2 linked regions of the Alligator mississippiensis genome follow. The protein of the gene in region 1 interacts with the protein of each later gene in a pairwise test. Links are inferred from orthologs where the notes say so. Each region holds a gene or a part of one and is shown in the gene's direction. Other genes may lie near its edges.

What was found.
Region 2: the proteins of CKM (region 1) and ASB9 interact in binary tests that used the Homo sapiens proteins (3 or more experiments, as listed by UniProt). The two-hybrid records come from large-scale screens. The link is inferred for Alligator mississippiensis from reciprocal best matches to the Homo sapiens genes CKM and ASB9.

What each region holds. Positions count from the first base shown.
Region 1 is NC_081838.1:164,697-172,865, reverse strand, and holds CKM (creatine kinase M-type), read left to right. Parts: upstream 1-5,032; 5' UTR 5,033-5,056; coding exon 5,057-5,249; intron 5,250-5,552; coding exon 5,553-5,707; intron 5,708-5,848; coding exon 5,849-5,981; intron 5,982-6,184; coding exon 6,185-6,356; intron 6,357-6,587; coding exon 6,588-6,711; intron 6,712-6,896; coding exon 6,897-7,086; intron 7,087-7,230; coding exon 7,231-7,409; 3' UTR 7,410-7,477; downstream 7,478-8,169. UniProt on the Homo sapiens protein: Reversibly catalyzes the transfer of phosphate between ATP and various phosphogens (e.g. creatine phosphate).
Region 2 is NC_081824.1:323,041,416-323,048,881, forward strand, and holds the start of ASB9 (ankyrin repeat and SOCS box protein 9), read left to right. Parts: upstream 1-4,428; 5' UTR 4,429-4,713; coding exon 4,714-4,807; intron 4,808-7,466. UniProt on the Homo sapiens protein: Substrate-recognition component of a cullin-5-RING E3 ubiquitin-protein ligase complex (ECS complex, also named CRL5 complex), which mediates the ubiquitination and subsequent proteasomal degradation of target proteins.

The sequences.
Region 1 (8,169 bases):
AGAGATAGTATCTTGTATTAGACCAACTACGTTTTTGCAACAAAAGAAGTTCTTTAATTGCAAGTTTTCAGGCGCAAACACCCTTGATGAGGCATTGGAGAAAAGATTGTGAAAGTTCTCCTGGGTCGAAATGAAAGTTCATATTTCATAGGATTTCACAGAGGAGCCAATAGATGGACTACTCCTCGCATGTGTGTTTGCTTGTGTATGCATTTGTCTTTGGGTTTGTGTGTTTGCTTGTGTATGCATTTGTCTTTGGGTTTGTGTGTTTGCATGTGTGCCTGTTTGCACGTATCTGTGTGTGCGCTTTCTTGTGAGTGCATGTGTGCTTGTGTGTGTGAGTGTGCATGTGTATGAGTGCATGTGCACATGGTTGTGCCCCCCCCCCCCCCACTCAGCACTGCCTTAGGCCACTCCCAGGCCCTCCTGTGCCCCCTGCAGAGAGGCAGCCCCCTTTAGCCCCCTCCTCCCCAGGCTCAGCTGTCCCCAGACCCAGCAGGGCCTGGCAGTCTGAAAGCCCTTGCAGGACAGCACAGCTGCCCCAGCTCAGCACAGACAGTGGCTGCACCAGGGCAGAGCTGCCTCTGGCTGTTGGGCTCAGCCCCACTCCCTGTGGCAGCTGGAGATGCCCCTAGGCTCCTCAGGGCCCTTCCCTCCCTGGGACCAGGCTTTGGCATTGCTGGGCTGGCTGGGGGCACAGGTGGCACAATGGCTCCCATGGGTCCAGCTGAGGAGAACAGAGAACTGGGCCAGCACTGGCAGGGCTTGGCCCAGTGGGGACAGGCCATAATTACCGAGCACAGCGGTAATCACAGGCACCAGCTGGGGCTGCGGTAATTAGTGCTTGCTCTGTGCCTCCCAGGGCCTGCATTGGACCTTCAGGGTGGGAGAGCCAGCAGCAGGGGAAGGGGCAGGTCCTGAGAACAGGGGCAGCAGCTGCTGGTGGGGCTGGGCTGGGGAGTCAGGGCAGGTGTCCCAGGGCAGCCCAGGGGAAGCTGGGAGGAGACACCTCCTCCTCCACCTCCTGCTGAAGTGCCCAGGCCATGGCCCAACGCTGGAGCTGCTGTGGCCCAGCTGGGTGCAGGCAGGCACTGAGCGAGGGGTCGGGCGCCAGGATGGGCCTCTTGGCGCCGTGGGCCTGTTCAGGCCAGGCCAGCAGTGCAGATACAGGCACTGTGGGAAACCCGACCTGCCTGCCCAGCTGGCTCTAAAAATACTGGCTCACCCGCCCTCCCCCCCCCCCCCCGACCGGCCCAGCCTGCTGGGATTGAATTCTCATGATCCAGCGGATCAGCTCAGAGGTCATTGCACAGGGCACCCCTACCAGGACTGCCTGGGGTGGGGGGTTCCCCCCAGGCCCAGCACCAGCTCCCCCAGCCTTGCGATGCCCCAGGGCCCAGCACAGCTGAGGGGGCAGGGTGGAGGTATGTGGGCAGGTCACTGCAGGCTCTTGCCATGGGCATGTGCATGTGCAGGCATGTGCATGAAGAAATGCAGAGCCAATTTCTGCCATCACACTTGCCTCAGTTTCCATGAGCAGACAGTGTAGGAGGGGAACATGGTGAACACCCCCTGGCCTGGAAGTGGGGTGGGGGGAGGGGTGATGATGGCAATATGGGTCCCTTGAAGGCTGGTGCAGCAGGGGGTTCAACATAGATCTGGGCACAGGCTGCTGTGACCTCCCCACCCCAACGTGTTTGGCAGGTGGGGAGTGGGCACAGGGCCAAGAGCACCTGGGCCCTGGGGCATAGAATGATGGGGCTGCAGGCCTTGCCCCACAATGCCCCCTTCCCCTGTGGTGCCTCTAGTCCCCCAGGGAGATCCTGGTTGGCCCCCAGTCAGGTGGGTCCTGCTATTTTGAGCCAGTGCCGAGCTGGTTTAGTGACTGTCGTACATGCTGCAGCCTATTCCTGGAGCTCAGCCCTTGCCCTGGGGCTGGAAGACCCCCAGATAGCCTGCTGGATTAGCTTGCCCACAGCTGCCCTGAGCACTCCTGGAGGAGCATGGGCTAGTGCCTGCCAGGCTGTGCTGTGGCTGCCCCAGGCTGGGGGGCTCCAACTTTCAGCAGGGTGCCAGGTGGTCCCATGTCCCACTCCCCCCCCCACACACACACACATCCGGCGGGGTCTCAGCACCTCCGGGGGACAGCAGGACCCAGCTCCAACCAGCTGGCTCCTGCCCTGCTGCTAATTTTGGCCCTGCCTGTGGCCACCTGCCTGTGCCGTGATATTTCCAGCCAAGATCACGCCTGGCCTTGTGATGCCCACGGCAAGGTGACCTCCAGACAGGGGCGCCCAGCTGGGGGTGCTTTGGGCCTGTGCCCGAGGCAGGGGCTGGCTGAGGTGGTGCCAGGTCCTGGCCAGGGGCAGGTGCCAGCCAGCCCGCACCCCACTCCCCTCCACACACACACATGCACATACTGTGGCTCTTCTCCAAGGCCTTGACTGGCATGGCCTGCTCCCCGGGTGCCGGGACATGCTACACACTGCATGTAGCCCCTGCGTACTCCACATGTGGGCCCTACAGATGTGCACAAGACAGGGGACACCAGTGGACGCAGCTGGGTGCCTGGGCAGGGTGGGAGCAGTAGGATTTAGGTCCTCAGTGTGTCAGGGTCACAGCCCCTTCCAGGCCTTACATGCAGGCCCCTGGATACATGTACAAACCCCAGCTTGTGCTTGTGCACCCCCCCAGCCAGTGGAGCCTGGCAGGAGCCCCAGCCTGAGCAGGGAGATCCCCCCAGAGCTGCCTGCAGGGCTGGGCTGAAACCTGATCTCCCGGCCCAGCATACGCAGGCGGGGCCCGCACCCCTCTGCACAGCTGCTGTCCCTGCACCTGCTGCCTCCACCCCCGTCCACCCCAGGGGCCCTTGAGCAGATCCCTGGGCAAGATCCAGTCCTGTTCCAGCCCCCAGAGCCAGCAGGGAGCTGGAGTGAGGCAGGGTGCCCCGTGGGCACTGCCAGCCCAGCCACAGTCCCAGGTGCCCGCAGGAAGGGCACACAGCAGGCAATCAATTGCCCAGAGGGGGGCACATGGGGGTCTTAGCAGTGCCCCTGGGACCAGCCCCTTCTGGGGAGCCTGCAGGGTCCGGCTCAGCCTGACCCCCAGCATTCCTGTCTCCCAGCCGTGGTGCCAGGGGCCAGAGCTCAGGTTACGCTGATGTGTCAAACTCCGGTGTTTGGCACAGCCCCGAGCCTGCGCCCATCCCATGCACTGGGCACTCTCCGGGCAAGGCCTCAGCCCTGCACCCCCAGCACAGAGCCCCTGCTGCCCCCCTGTCCTCGGTCTACTCCAGTGCCCACTGTGACCTCATCCCTTAACGCTTCTTCCCCGAGCCCCACTCCCTGCCAGGGGTCATTGTGCCTTTTGCACCTGGGAGCTGCCCAAGCCACTGCTCCCCCAAGGGCACTGGGGATGTCCCGACACCAACCAGGCCCTGAGGCCCGAGACCAGTCTCAGCACCCTCCCAGGCTGATGCCCACCACCAGACTCTGTGGGGTGGACGTGAGCTGGGCCCCAGGACTGTTCCCCCCCATAAATCATGGTGCCCTGCAGCTGCTGGCCCCTTCCTGCTCTGGGGTTGGATCCCTGGAAACACGATCTCAGCTGCTCTGCTCTGGTGCCAGCAAGGGCCCGGACAGGCTGGGTTGCTTGGGTGGGGGCCAGGGCACTGTGAGCCAGCACCGCATTGCTGCCTATATAAAGTGCTGGGCCGTCGGCCATGGGGGCGAGGGGCGGGTGGCTGGGGGGGTGAGGGGGAGCAGCGTCATGTGCTCCCATCCCAGCCAGGCCTTGCTCAGCACCCTCAGGCTGGTACCTGAGGGGATGGGCTGGTGCCAGCACTGGGGACCGCCCCCTGGCAGGGCAGGGCAGGGCAGCCGGGCACGGTCCCGGGGTTCCCATGGTGACTGCGGGGGGCAGCTCGGGGCAGGGGGCCTGGCACAGGCTCTAGCAACTGCGGTCAGCCCAGCTGCCGGGGCAGGGTACAAGGGCCACCACCATGCCCTGGCAAGGGTGAGTCCAGGCAGGGCCCAGTGCCTCCTCAAGCCCCACTCACATGGATCCAGGCCCCAGGGGCTGCATCTGGGGCAGCCCTGGGGCAGGAAGGGGCAAACCTTCCCCAACCCCATCACTGCCCTGCACGTCCCCCCTGGCCCGGGGTGAGGCCTGGGGGGGAACACGAGGTCGGAGCATGGGGGGCAGCGCGACCCCTCCCCAGGCAGGGAGGCTGGATGGGCTGGGGCAGCTCAGCCCCGGCCCCAGATCCCGACGGCACCCCCCCCCCCCCCCGGGGCCCCTCCTCGCCGCCGGGTGCCCAATTGTGGCCGGGGCGCGAGCGGGCGCCAGCCAATGGGAGCGCGGCCCGCGGGATAAAGCGGCGTGGCGCGGGGCTGCCCCGGGTCACCTGCGCCGAGCCCGCGAGGAGTCCGCCCCGTCCCGTCCAAGGTGCGGAGGGGAGTTCGGGGCTAGGGCTGGGGCTCAGGGGTTAGGTGCTAGGTGCTGGGGCAGGAGCTGTGGGGCTGGGGCCGGGCTCGGAGCCGGGTATCGCTGCAGGGCATGGGGCAGGGGTGGACCGGGCCGCACCGTGGGGACGGACCTCCGCGCCTAGGGCCGGGCCGGCCCGGGCCGGCCCGGGCGTGGGTCCCTCCCGGCATGGCCCCCGCCGCCGCCCGCGCCCGACCCGGGATGCCAGGAACGCAGCTCAGCCCCGCAGACGGGGCCTTTTGTGGGCAAAGCGCGGGTATAAATAGCGCGGACAGCTGCCGGGCGCGGCGCCGAGCCTTGGCCCCCCCGGCCTCCCCCACGTGCTCCCCCGCCGCTGCGCTCGAGCCCCGGGGCACCGCCTCCTGCCTGCCCCGGGCGCCTCCGGCCCATGCCAGGTGCCCCCACCAGTGCCCTGCATAGGCAGCCACCCGCGGCCCGGGCATCTGAGCGCCTGGGCAGGAGCGTTGAACTATGGGAGCCAGAGGGACTGGGACTGGGACTGGGGTGGCAGGGAGCAGAGCAGCACCCTGAGTGCCGGTGCCCTCAGGCCGTGCCCACCACCACCGCCACCATGCCGTTCGGTAACACCCACAACAAGTTCAAGCTCAACTACTCAGCGGAGGACGAGTTCCCCGACCTGACGAAGCACAACAACCACATGGCCAAGGCACTAACCCTGGACATCTACAAGAAGCTGCGGGACAAGGAGACCCCCAGCGGCTTCACCCTCGACGACATCATCCAGACCGGCGTTGACAACCCAGGTCCTCTGGCTCCTTTGCTGTGGGGGGCAGGGGGGCAAGGGCAGGGAGCCGGGGACCCCCCAGCCTGGGGGTGACAGGGGCAAGGGCAGGGAGCTGGGGCTTCCTCTCCCTTATTCCCAGCCTTGTCTCACTCAGCTCCAAGCCCAGGATACTGCTGCAGTGAGGCCTGTGGGATACATTTGATATGGTGTGATTCTGCCATGGGTTCGGGTGGCCTCAGTGTATGTGGAAGGGAAAAGTGGAGCAGAGGTGAGGGTTGGGGGCAGGTGACCATGACCCTGACCCTGTTCCCCCACCCCGCAGGGCACCCCTTTATCATGACTGTAGGCTGTGTGGCTGGGGATGAGGAGAGCTATGAAGTCTTCAAGGACCTGTTCGACCCCGTGATCCAGGACAGGCACGGCGGGTACAAGCCCACCGACCAGCACAAGACTGACCTCAACCATGAGAACCTCAAGGTGCCTGATTGGGGTGGGGGACCGGCAGAGCTGGTGCTACCAGGTCAAGTGGAGAGGGCCCTGGCATGGCTTCTTTGGGGGGGGGGGGCGCACAGGGCAAGGGGCCCTCAGCCGCACTGACGTTTCCTCTGGCCTGTGCAGGGTGGGGATGACCTGGACCCCAACTACGTGCTGAGCAGCCGGGTGCGCACGGGCCGCAGCATCAAGGGCTACTCGCTGCCCCCCCACTGCAGCCGCGGGGAGCGCCGTGCCGTGGAGAAGCTCTCCCTCCGCAGTGAGTGGTGGGGGATGGGGGCAGGGGGGAGCTCCCCATCAGCAGTGAGGTGGGGGGCATGGGGCTGGGGGCCAGTCTCCATTCCCCAGGAAGCTGGGAACACCCCTGGACATGGGGCAGGGACGGTGGCATCTTCCAGGGTGCCTGGCAGGGTCGGGTTGCAGGGTGCCTGCAGGCGTCCCTGACATAGTGTCTTACCCCAGCCCTGAACAGCCTGACCGGGGAGTTCAAGGGCAAGTACTACCCACTGAAGGACATGTCGGACCAAGAGCAGCAGCAGCTCATCGACGACCACTTTCTCTTTGACAAGCCTGTGTCGCCCCTGCTGCTGGCCTCCGGCATGGCCCGCGATTGGCCTGATGCCCGCGGCATCTGGTGAGGCCCCCCACAGGCTGGACACTGGGGTCCCAGCCCCAGAGCTGGGGGAAGTGGAGACTGCATGCTGGCCCCAGGACTCCTGGGTCCTTGATCTGCCTTTGGGAGTCTGTGGGCTGGAGCAGGAAGCCTGGGTCCTAGCCCCAGGGCTGAGGGAACCTGGGGCAGGGTGCAGGGGACAGGACTGGTGCAGGGGCCCTGACAGCAGCCACCCCCTCCCCACCCCTGCAGGCACAATGACAACAAGACCTTCCTGGTGTGGGTGAATGAGGAGGACCACCTGCGCGTCATCTCCATGCAGAAGGGTGGTAACATGAAGGAGGTCTTCCGTCGCTTCTGTGTTGGGCTCCAGAAGGTGCGGGTCTGGCTGTCTGGGTTCTTGCCCCTGCCCAGGGAGGCCAGTGGGGGCTGGAGCAGGAGCAGGCTAGGGGCCTGCATGCCTGGATTTTTATTCTTGCTCAGGGAGGCCAGTGTGGGCTGGCAAGGTGGGAGCAGGAGGGGGCTGGGTCCTGGTGCTGATCCCCCTCCCTGCCCTGGCAGATTGAGGAGGACTTCAAGAAGGCCGGGCACCCCTTCATGTGGAACCAACATCTGGGCTATGTGCTGACCTGCCCGTCCAACCTGGGCACGGGCCTGCGTGGTGGCGTCCACGTCAAGCTGCCCCACCTCAGCAAGCACCCGAAGTTCGAGGAGATCCTCAAGCGCCTGCGCCTGCAGAAGCGCGGCACTGGTGGGTGCAGGGGTTGGGCACTAGTGGGCATAGGCGTGCGGGGAGGGAGGATGGGGGGGCACAGAGCCTGGGGCTCAGCAGCTCTGGGGCCAGCACGAGCAGGGGCTGTGGCAGCACTGACCCTTCCCTTCTCCCCCCCCACAGGCGGGGTGGACACGGCGGCGGTGGGCTCTGTGTATGACGTCTCCAATGCAGACCGGCTGGGCTTCTCAGAGGTGGAGCAGGTGCAAATGGTGGTGGACGGTGTCAAGCTCATGGTGGAGATGGAGAAGAAGCTGGAGAAGAACCAGACCATTGACGACATGATCCCAGCCCAGAAGTAGGCACTGTGCCCACCCCAGCACTGCCAATGCCCGCCCACGGGCCCAATAAAGCCATGATGGCCCCAGCACTGCTGCCTGCTGTCTGCACTGGGGGCCAGGCAGGGGCAGGCCAAGGTGTGGGGCACCGGGAGGGGGGGGTGCCCCCCATACATTTCATAACTGTTTATCTCGGAGGAACCGCAGTAGATCATTAAATCCGACCCCCTGCTCTGGGCAAGAAAGATCACTGGGGTCAGATGACCCCAGGCAGGTACTTGTCCAGTCTCCTCTTAAAGACCTCCAGGGTAGGGGAGAGCACCACCTCCCTTGGAAGCCCATTCCAGATTCTGGTAGCCCTTACTGTGAAGAAGTTCTTCCTGATGTCTAATCTAAATCTCCACGGCAGGGTCCAGGGCCCACAGGCTTGAGCTCCCCCTGAGGCAGGGGGCATGGGGCAGGCAGGAGCTGTGGGGGCTGCTGTAGTGCTCCCACCCCCTCACCCAAGATGACCTGTACCCCCCCCCCCCCAACATATGACAACCTGAGCCCAAAGCTCCAACCTGCTCCAGCCCCTGGAAGGGTCTGTCAACTGCCTCCATTTCCACCCCCCCCCCCCCCCAGTGTAGGGCTAGACCCTGCAGGGCTGGGGGGTGGGGTTCAGCCCAGGCCACATCACATCACCTCTGCAGGAGCCCTGACAGGCAACACCTACACCACCTAGCCTGGGGCTCCCGAGAGCTGGACACCTGGGTTTCCCCCTGCCCCGCCCCCCCCCCCCCCG
Region 2 (7,466 bases), on another chromosome or scaffold:
AGGTTTGAGCAGTTTCCGCCCAAGTTGTAGAGGACTCCACAACCATCTCGTGGGGACTCTGAGCACATGGCAGAGTAATAGAAACTTTGTGTGTGTCTCAGAGGAGTTTGGCGGCCTGATCAACCACCAACCTCTTCCCGTCTTGTTCGTTAAATTCTTAAGATGTATCTACGGTTTTGCATGCTCGTCAAGAGTATCCAGAGCTCTGTCGTGTTTGTTTTGCGGAGCCTAGCAAACTCCGTGCGTGTGTCTTCGGTGGAGCCTAGCAAACTCCACTTGTGTTTGTCTGTAACTGCAACTCAAGAAAGTTTTTCCTGCCTGCACCGTGACCACCTACGGTGTAAGTAAAACAATCTTTAATTAACCGCTACGAGTCCGTGCCTAATTGTAGTCCGTCGTGCCAGAGTCCCCGCCCTACCGTTGCGGGCTCCTGGCCACAGCCCGCCGTGCGCCCCTGAAAGCCTTGGACCGCTCCCAGCCCGCGCAGGGGGTAGTACCCTAACCAAGGTAATGCATTGTTAGTCTACTATATGCCAACTTTATGGAATGGGACACTCCTCCCTAGCTTGCTCCTGTGGCCATACGGTTGAGGGCAAGTGAAACTTGGGGGCATCTGAACCCCAAGCCTCGGGGATTGGATCTGTACGTAGGATGTCTGCCAAAGGATTTGGAAGCATCTGAAGTCCCAGGTGGGGGTGGAGGATGTTTGCTGGTAGCAGGGCCACATATGGTTCTTGAATGACTCATGGATTTGGAATTGATTTGCTGATTTGACTTGGGGGGACAAAAAATTTTCCTTAAAAAACAAACAAGCAAACAAAAAAATTGTTGGTATTATACTTGATACCGAAAATTCTTTTGAAATGAGACCTGTGCAAGCAAATAGAGCCCTCTGAGGAGAATGCATGGCATGCACAAGTACAAATGGGGAGAGGCAACTAGTCAACTGCAGCTGTGCAGTGAAGAATGTTCTGAAGAGGAAGATTAAAATGTGGGTACCAAGGACCAACAGCAGGAAAACAGGGATACTATGATTTGAGGCTGCTTGGAGAATAAGGTACTAGTCACTGTGAATAAGGATGGCAAAAACATCTTTTAGAAAAGTTGAAGTCTGAAAACCACCACTATAAAATCTGACTGGAGACAGAGAAACTGGAGAACCACTTTTAACATGGCTTTTAAAGATGATAAAGGTTGTCACAGAGGAAGAATTCAGGCAATCTGCCTAAAATTCTGTTTGGGATTTTGAATAGGGTGACCATAATCATTTGAGGGAAACCATAATAATTTGAGGGATGAGGGAGTAGTGGGTGGCCCCAGGGGGTGCACCTCCCCACCTCAGCAGCTCCCAGGAGCAGGGCTGGGCAAGACACCATGGTGCATACATACATACACACACACCCTTGACCTCATGGCTCCCTGCGCACCCATCTCTTAACCCTGCTTGCAGCCCAGCGGGGTCCAAACCAGGAAGCAGTCCATTGGCTGGGCTCTCTGGAGAAAATTAAAGCAAAAGTCCTGGATTGGTAGGAACCTGCCCGTATGGCTAGGGACAGACATTCAAAAAGCCTAAGCCCGAATTGATTCAATCTTTGCAGGTTAGTCTAACCTGGCTAGGCTAAATCAGTTGGTAACTGTACAGATATCCCAGACATGCAGGCACATGCCTGCAGTGGCTCAGGCTAGAAGCTGGGGGGCACTAGAGCAGCCCTCCCCTCCCTTCAACAAGGTTGAGCTGAGGGGTGCAGGGCCAGGCCCCGGCAGGATGCTCTGATTAGGGAGGGGGTTCCCCCCCACCCCCGCGAGCAGCCCAGCAGGGAATTGTTAACACAGTGTTTATCATCCCTAACTCAGTGTTTATCACCCCCTTAAGAAAACAACAGAGGGATATTACCAGCTAGCTGTTGATTCCACCTTTGTCCCATCTACCACAGCAGGGACTGTAGCCAGCATGTGGTCTGCTAGCTAATATGCAGACACCTCTCAGCAAGACAGAGGGGAGGGGAGAATTCCTGCTTAGCAGGGAGTGTGTGTTTGGGGGGAGGGTGGGATGGAGCAGCCTGCAGTCTCTGTTAAGCTCCAGCCAGGGAGCAGAGGGGAGGAGCCAGCCCTGCTGTGGAGCAGAGAGCCCTGCCCAGCCCAGAGAGCAAGCTGGGATGCTGGGGGAGTCTGGTTTAAGTTAAACCACCAAGGGGTCTGGAACAAACACTGCATAAACCAGTTTGACCCAAACCAGTTAAGTCTGATACTACATCCATTTTCAAACTGGTTTATGTGCACTGAACATCTGTTCTGTTACAGGTTTAAATTAGTTTCTGAATTCTGATCACTTAAACTGGTTTATGTGTAATGTCTGTCCCTCGCCCATGTGCCTGGCTCCTGACTGAGGAGTTGCATGTAAGGGTGGGTTCCAGGAGTTTTGCTTCAATTTTATCCGATGGCTGGGATGCTGAAACAGACTCTGAAATCTGGGACTGTCCTGGCCAGTCCAGGACATATGGTCACCCTAATTATGAGTGGCCTGTATGCTTGATGTTTTATAATTATCTTTACTGTAATTCTTGCCATTATGCTAAGCAGACAGAAAGGGGCATCTAAATGTCTGTCTCTGAATAGAACAGTCAATAAAGACCCATCAACACAAGAATTGGTGCTCCTTGAAAAAAATGAAAAGATGGCTGCTTCCTAACTGAAAACAATATTATTTGTTTTGTCTACACAAAATAAGGATTCTTCAGGATTTTGCAAAAATTCCCAAAAGGGAACAAAAAGAGTAATTCACAGAGAAAACTGGAGGACAGTTTTCTTGAGTGCCAGAAGGCCTGTTGACTTAAGAACCATCTAATAGGAAACAAAGCTTGCTGCAGAGGTATAAAAGATGACTGTAATTCAGAAGTGATGCTTAGCCTGGAAGAGTGGAGTTCCAGAGAAGGTTGCTGGAGCTTCGAAAAGTCATTGATCCACCCTAAAAAAATCCTTTAAAAATGATCAGAAGTGGTGATGATATTGAGGCCCAAGGGGGCATTTACTGTTTTGTCTATATCTGGGTACTTCTTGTGTTCTCTAAAATAAAGACTGAATGATTTAGAACCCCTTTTGTAAATCTATGCCTATTTGCTTCAACTATTGCATGTACTCTAAACTGTAAATCAGAGTGGCCATAAGGTCAAGCTCTTGGAAAGGGTGTACTTACTTAAGCTATACCTTGGGCTGAAAGCACAGGAAGAGGCAGCATTAGTTATGGGGTTTTAGGGCAGCTGAAAGATGTTGTCTCATTTCCAGAAGGCATAACTGATAAGGATGCCAGGATCAGGGTGTGTGGCAGAGAAACTGGAACAGGAACAGTGGCAGAATTCATCTTAGAGATGGAGAGGACCTTAAAAGTCTGTATGGCCACTATATGGGCAGCAGCTTCACACAAAGCAGCTTGTCAGAGGGAGCTCTGGAATTGCCAGGTGATGTTTAATTTACTCTGTGCTTCCCATTAGTGTGGGGATGAGGCACGGCTGCTGGTTTTATCTTTGAATGGGACTGTATTTTCCAGTCATGGCAAAGACACTTAGAAGTTATTACTTGTTCTTTTTTATATGTTATAGATAGAAATAAAGTTAACCTATGAAGATTTGGGGCAGGTGATAAGAATTTCACCTTGGTGGGCAGGTGTAAAATATGCAACTCCTGTTTGAGTGCATGACACTTTTTCATGAAGTTCTTGTCTGTGAATAAAAATGGTTACATTTGCATATTCATTAAGAACAAATGGACTTTGTGCCTGTAGATTACAGAATTTGAGACCAAATAGCAAATGGAGAAATGATCTGTTTGCGTACAAAGTTATACTAGGTTGAGGTCCTTTCGAAAAACATGTCTGTGTTTACTTTCCTGGAGTTCATGGTTTTTAGTTTAGGTGAAAAATCAGTTTTAAAATGTTGGTGCAACATGATTTGGTGAAGTTAACTGAAATTAATACCAATAAATAAGCCTATAGAAGAGCATGCTTTTCATGCTATAGAGACAAGAAAGCACTTCTAGTGAAAAGTACAGCTCTGCGAACATGTGGTTTCAATATTCTCATGGTATGTAGTGACTCGTGCTGTGTAAAAAGAGCCCTCCCCACTGTTGTTTTTGCATGCTGTCATGAGATTTTTTGATGCTGTCAGGGTTTTTATGTACTATACCATATTCACAGAGGCATAGTATATGTGAAAAGCATGTTGTCTCAAAGCAATTCCATCTGAGTAGTGGAAAACAGCAAACACTACTTACTTTCTAAGTTATCTTTACAAATCCCCCCCGAAGGCAGTTTGCTTAACTAGTTGAACTGGCTCTTTCTGTTTTGTTTTTTTTGGCAAACTAAGAATTTCCTGCCTGATAAAAACAGAAGGCAGACTTACTGATTGGGCGTGGCTTTTGAAAGGATATGACATCAGACACATCCCTTGCTTTTGTGCAGTGTGGTCTGTCTGTTCTCTGCCTGTCCACCAAGTAAATGAGGAGGTGTTTCGTTAAATCCGAGCACAGGTACTCGAATTTCTGTGCGAACTGCTGCCAAGCCAAGTTCCAGTCGGCTGCAGTCTGCTTGACTTGGACACACACAACAATCTGCTTAATAGATTACTCCCATAACTAGGCATTTCATCAGGGAAGATGGAATTTGAACTCTCATGACCAACCTTGAAGAGAAATAACAGAAACTAGACTGCCTAGGGTGCAATGGATAATGAGAGAGTACATGGAAATGCCAGCAAATCCCTGGGAGCGGAAGGCCAGCCACATGCATCTTCTCTATCAAATCCGTTGATGAGTGGTAAGTTATATTGCTCGGCCTGATCTACTCCCCCAGTGAGGGTGGAAGGGCCATGGAGAGTGCATATTCAAAGTGACAGCAGTTTGTCCTCCTAGTGTCTGGTTTACATACTGTGCTACTGATGCAGACCCCATGTACATGCAGTTACTTTTCAAATGCATTTCTTTTAGACATGATTAATACTGTTAATGCTTTTAGGCGCTTCATAAAAAAGCAGTGTTTGGCTCTTAGGAATCTGTGTAAAGGATCAGAAATATTACCATTACAATAATAAGTTACTAAGGAGTTACTATATAGGCATGTTTGGCTTATGTTACTGCCAGCTGGAAGTTTTGTGGTGGCTTCTTTTCTTTCTTTTCCTTTTCCTTTTCCTTTTCCTTTTCTTTCCTGCTGAAGGCTGTCATGAGTGATTCCCAAAGGGCTCAGATTATGAATGTTGGGCTATTACTGGGGAGCAATGGTTCCCGGTGTCCTCATTCTGCTCATTACTCTTCATAGGAAGTTTCCAGTCTGGGCCAAAATGTCTGAAAATATGACACCGTGTCAAAAGACAAATGCCTTCATTTTGCATGCAGCTTAATTAGCAATGTTTCACTCTTCTGTTCTCTTGGAAGCTCTGTTTTCAGTTCATGGTCAGCACAGTGGGGGCGGATAAATCAAGAGAGCATGGTTTTGCTGCATTCCTCTCCTTCCCCGAGACCTCTCTCGGGACCTTCAACTCATTACTAAGGGAAAAAGTGTTATTAAAATATGAAGTGGAGGACAAGGCAAATTATCATGTAGCGATTACTTTATATACCTATGTTGTGTAGTCAGAGACAGGAAGATAGTGACATCATTGAATTAAGAACAAAAATAAATAAGGTTTGGAAGGGGATTCTGACAAAATGGATGACAGGTGTCTAGCATCTGGAATAAAAGGGCGAAATGTGCAGCGATGCAGATTTTTTCAGAAGTAGGAATAGATTTCAAAACTGTTCGTCTATGACGTGTACCCTTTGAAAATGAATATCCAGGTGATTCCTGGTGTGTGTCTTGATATCAGCACATTGCAAATTCTATCCTGGAGTTATACCATGTATGAATTTGGCTTTGTATGTTTTAATTTTTCTGTAACAATTTGAGGTTAATGACTTTTACTTCTGGACATTTGACACACAGCATATCTCTTGCAACAAAAAGCAGGTGCTTCAGAAATGATCAAATTAAAGATAATTTAAAAGTACCACAGAACAGATTTTTTTTTTCCAGGCAGAACTATCTCAGTCATTTCTCCACCTGCCCCATGCACTGATTATAATAAATGGGGATGTATTGGGATTCAGCTGACTGTTTTTTATGAGACCCCACAGACCTCACACCTGAAGGAATAAATCCTTCTGTGGCTTTGAATTTTTGTTTTCATCTTTCTTTCTATTCTTTTGCCTCTTTACTAAGATGAGTCACCACAAGAGATAAAGAAATGTTCAGCTTAGTGAAAATTTGAAACCTCCCATTTGTCTGCCTGTCTCTGATATGAATCCCTGAGATAAGGGCCTTATGCCACTTTCAGTAGCTAGCTCACACTTTTCTGCCTACATGCATGCCAGGTAAAAGCTTTTACCCTGGCCTCAAACCAGGTTTGAGCTGTTTAGGTGGGGAGAACATTGTTTCCGTTCCAGCAGGACTCCTCCATTGACATTCCCGTGGTCTAACAATCTCTCTGGAAAAGTACTGCTGAACCACTGTCACCAGAGAGTTACAGGGCCTTAACTGCCCTCTTGAATTGTTTTGAATTACTTTATCTGCATAACAAACTAGGCCCCAAGAGGCCTATTTAGGCTGTTATTTTCAGGTTGGTGTCACTATTACTTCTTTTAATCTACTTGCCACAATTGTCCAGAGGTTTCAGGGGCTGGGATGAAGTAAAATGCTTTAAAAACATGCATCGGATTTGTCCCCTTTGATAGTTCAGAAAAAAACAAAACCATAATTCCCTGACTGTGCTTAAAACTGATGAGATTGGCTGGTTATAGCTATATTAGAAAAGCCTCCTATGGTGTGTTCCCACATGCAGGGGCAGGTGGTTGCCACCGCAAAAACAGCAGCATCACAAATTTGTGCCACTGCTTTTTGCTACAGCGCATGCCCCTCCATGCAGGGTTGATGTATGGCAAGTTGTCTCCAACAGAGTAGGAGAGGCTGGGGCCAGCATCTAAGCTAGCCCTAGGAGCCTTACCTGGAGTCCTACGGGCCTCCCAGGGCAGCAGCAGCAGCAATCCAGCCACTCGGAGCCTTGCCAGCAGCCAGAGCATGGTTCTGGCTGGCCAGGCACCCTTTCTGGTGGTGCATGCTGCTGGTACATGCACCACATTGATTTTTTCAACACTGGGGTTTTTGACACTGGGATATGAGCAACCAATGTGATGCTATAAGCCGGCAGAACGAACAAGACACTGGCATGCATCAACCAATGCATCTCAAGAAAAACTAAGGATGTCATCCTCCTGCTTTACTCTGCACTGGTGAGGCCTCAGCTGGAGTACTGCATCCAATGCTGTGTGTCACACTTCAAGAAGGATGTGGAGAGTCTTGAAAGAGCTCAAAAGAGGGCCACACGAATTATTAGAGGTCTGGAGGACAGGCCGTACAAGGAGAGGCTGAAGGGCATGGGACTGTT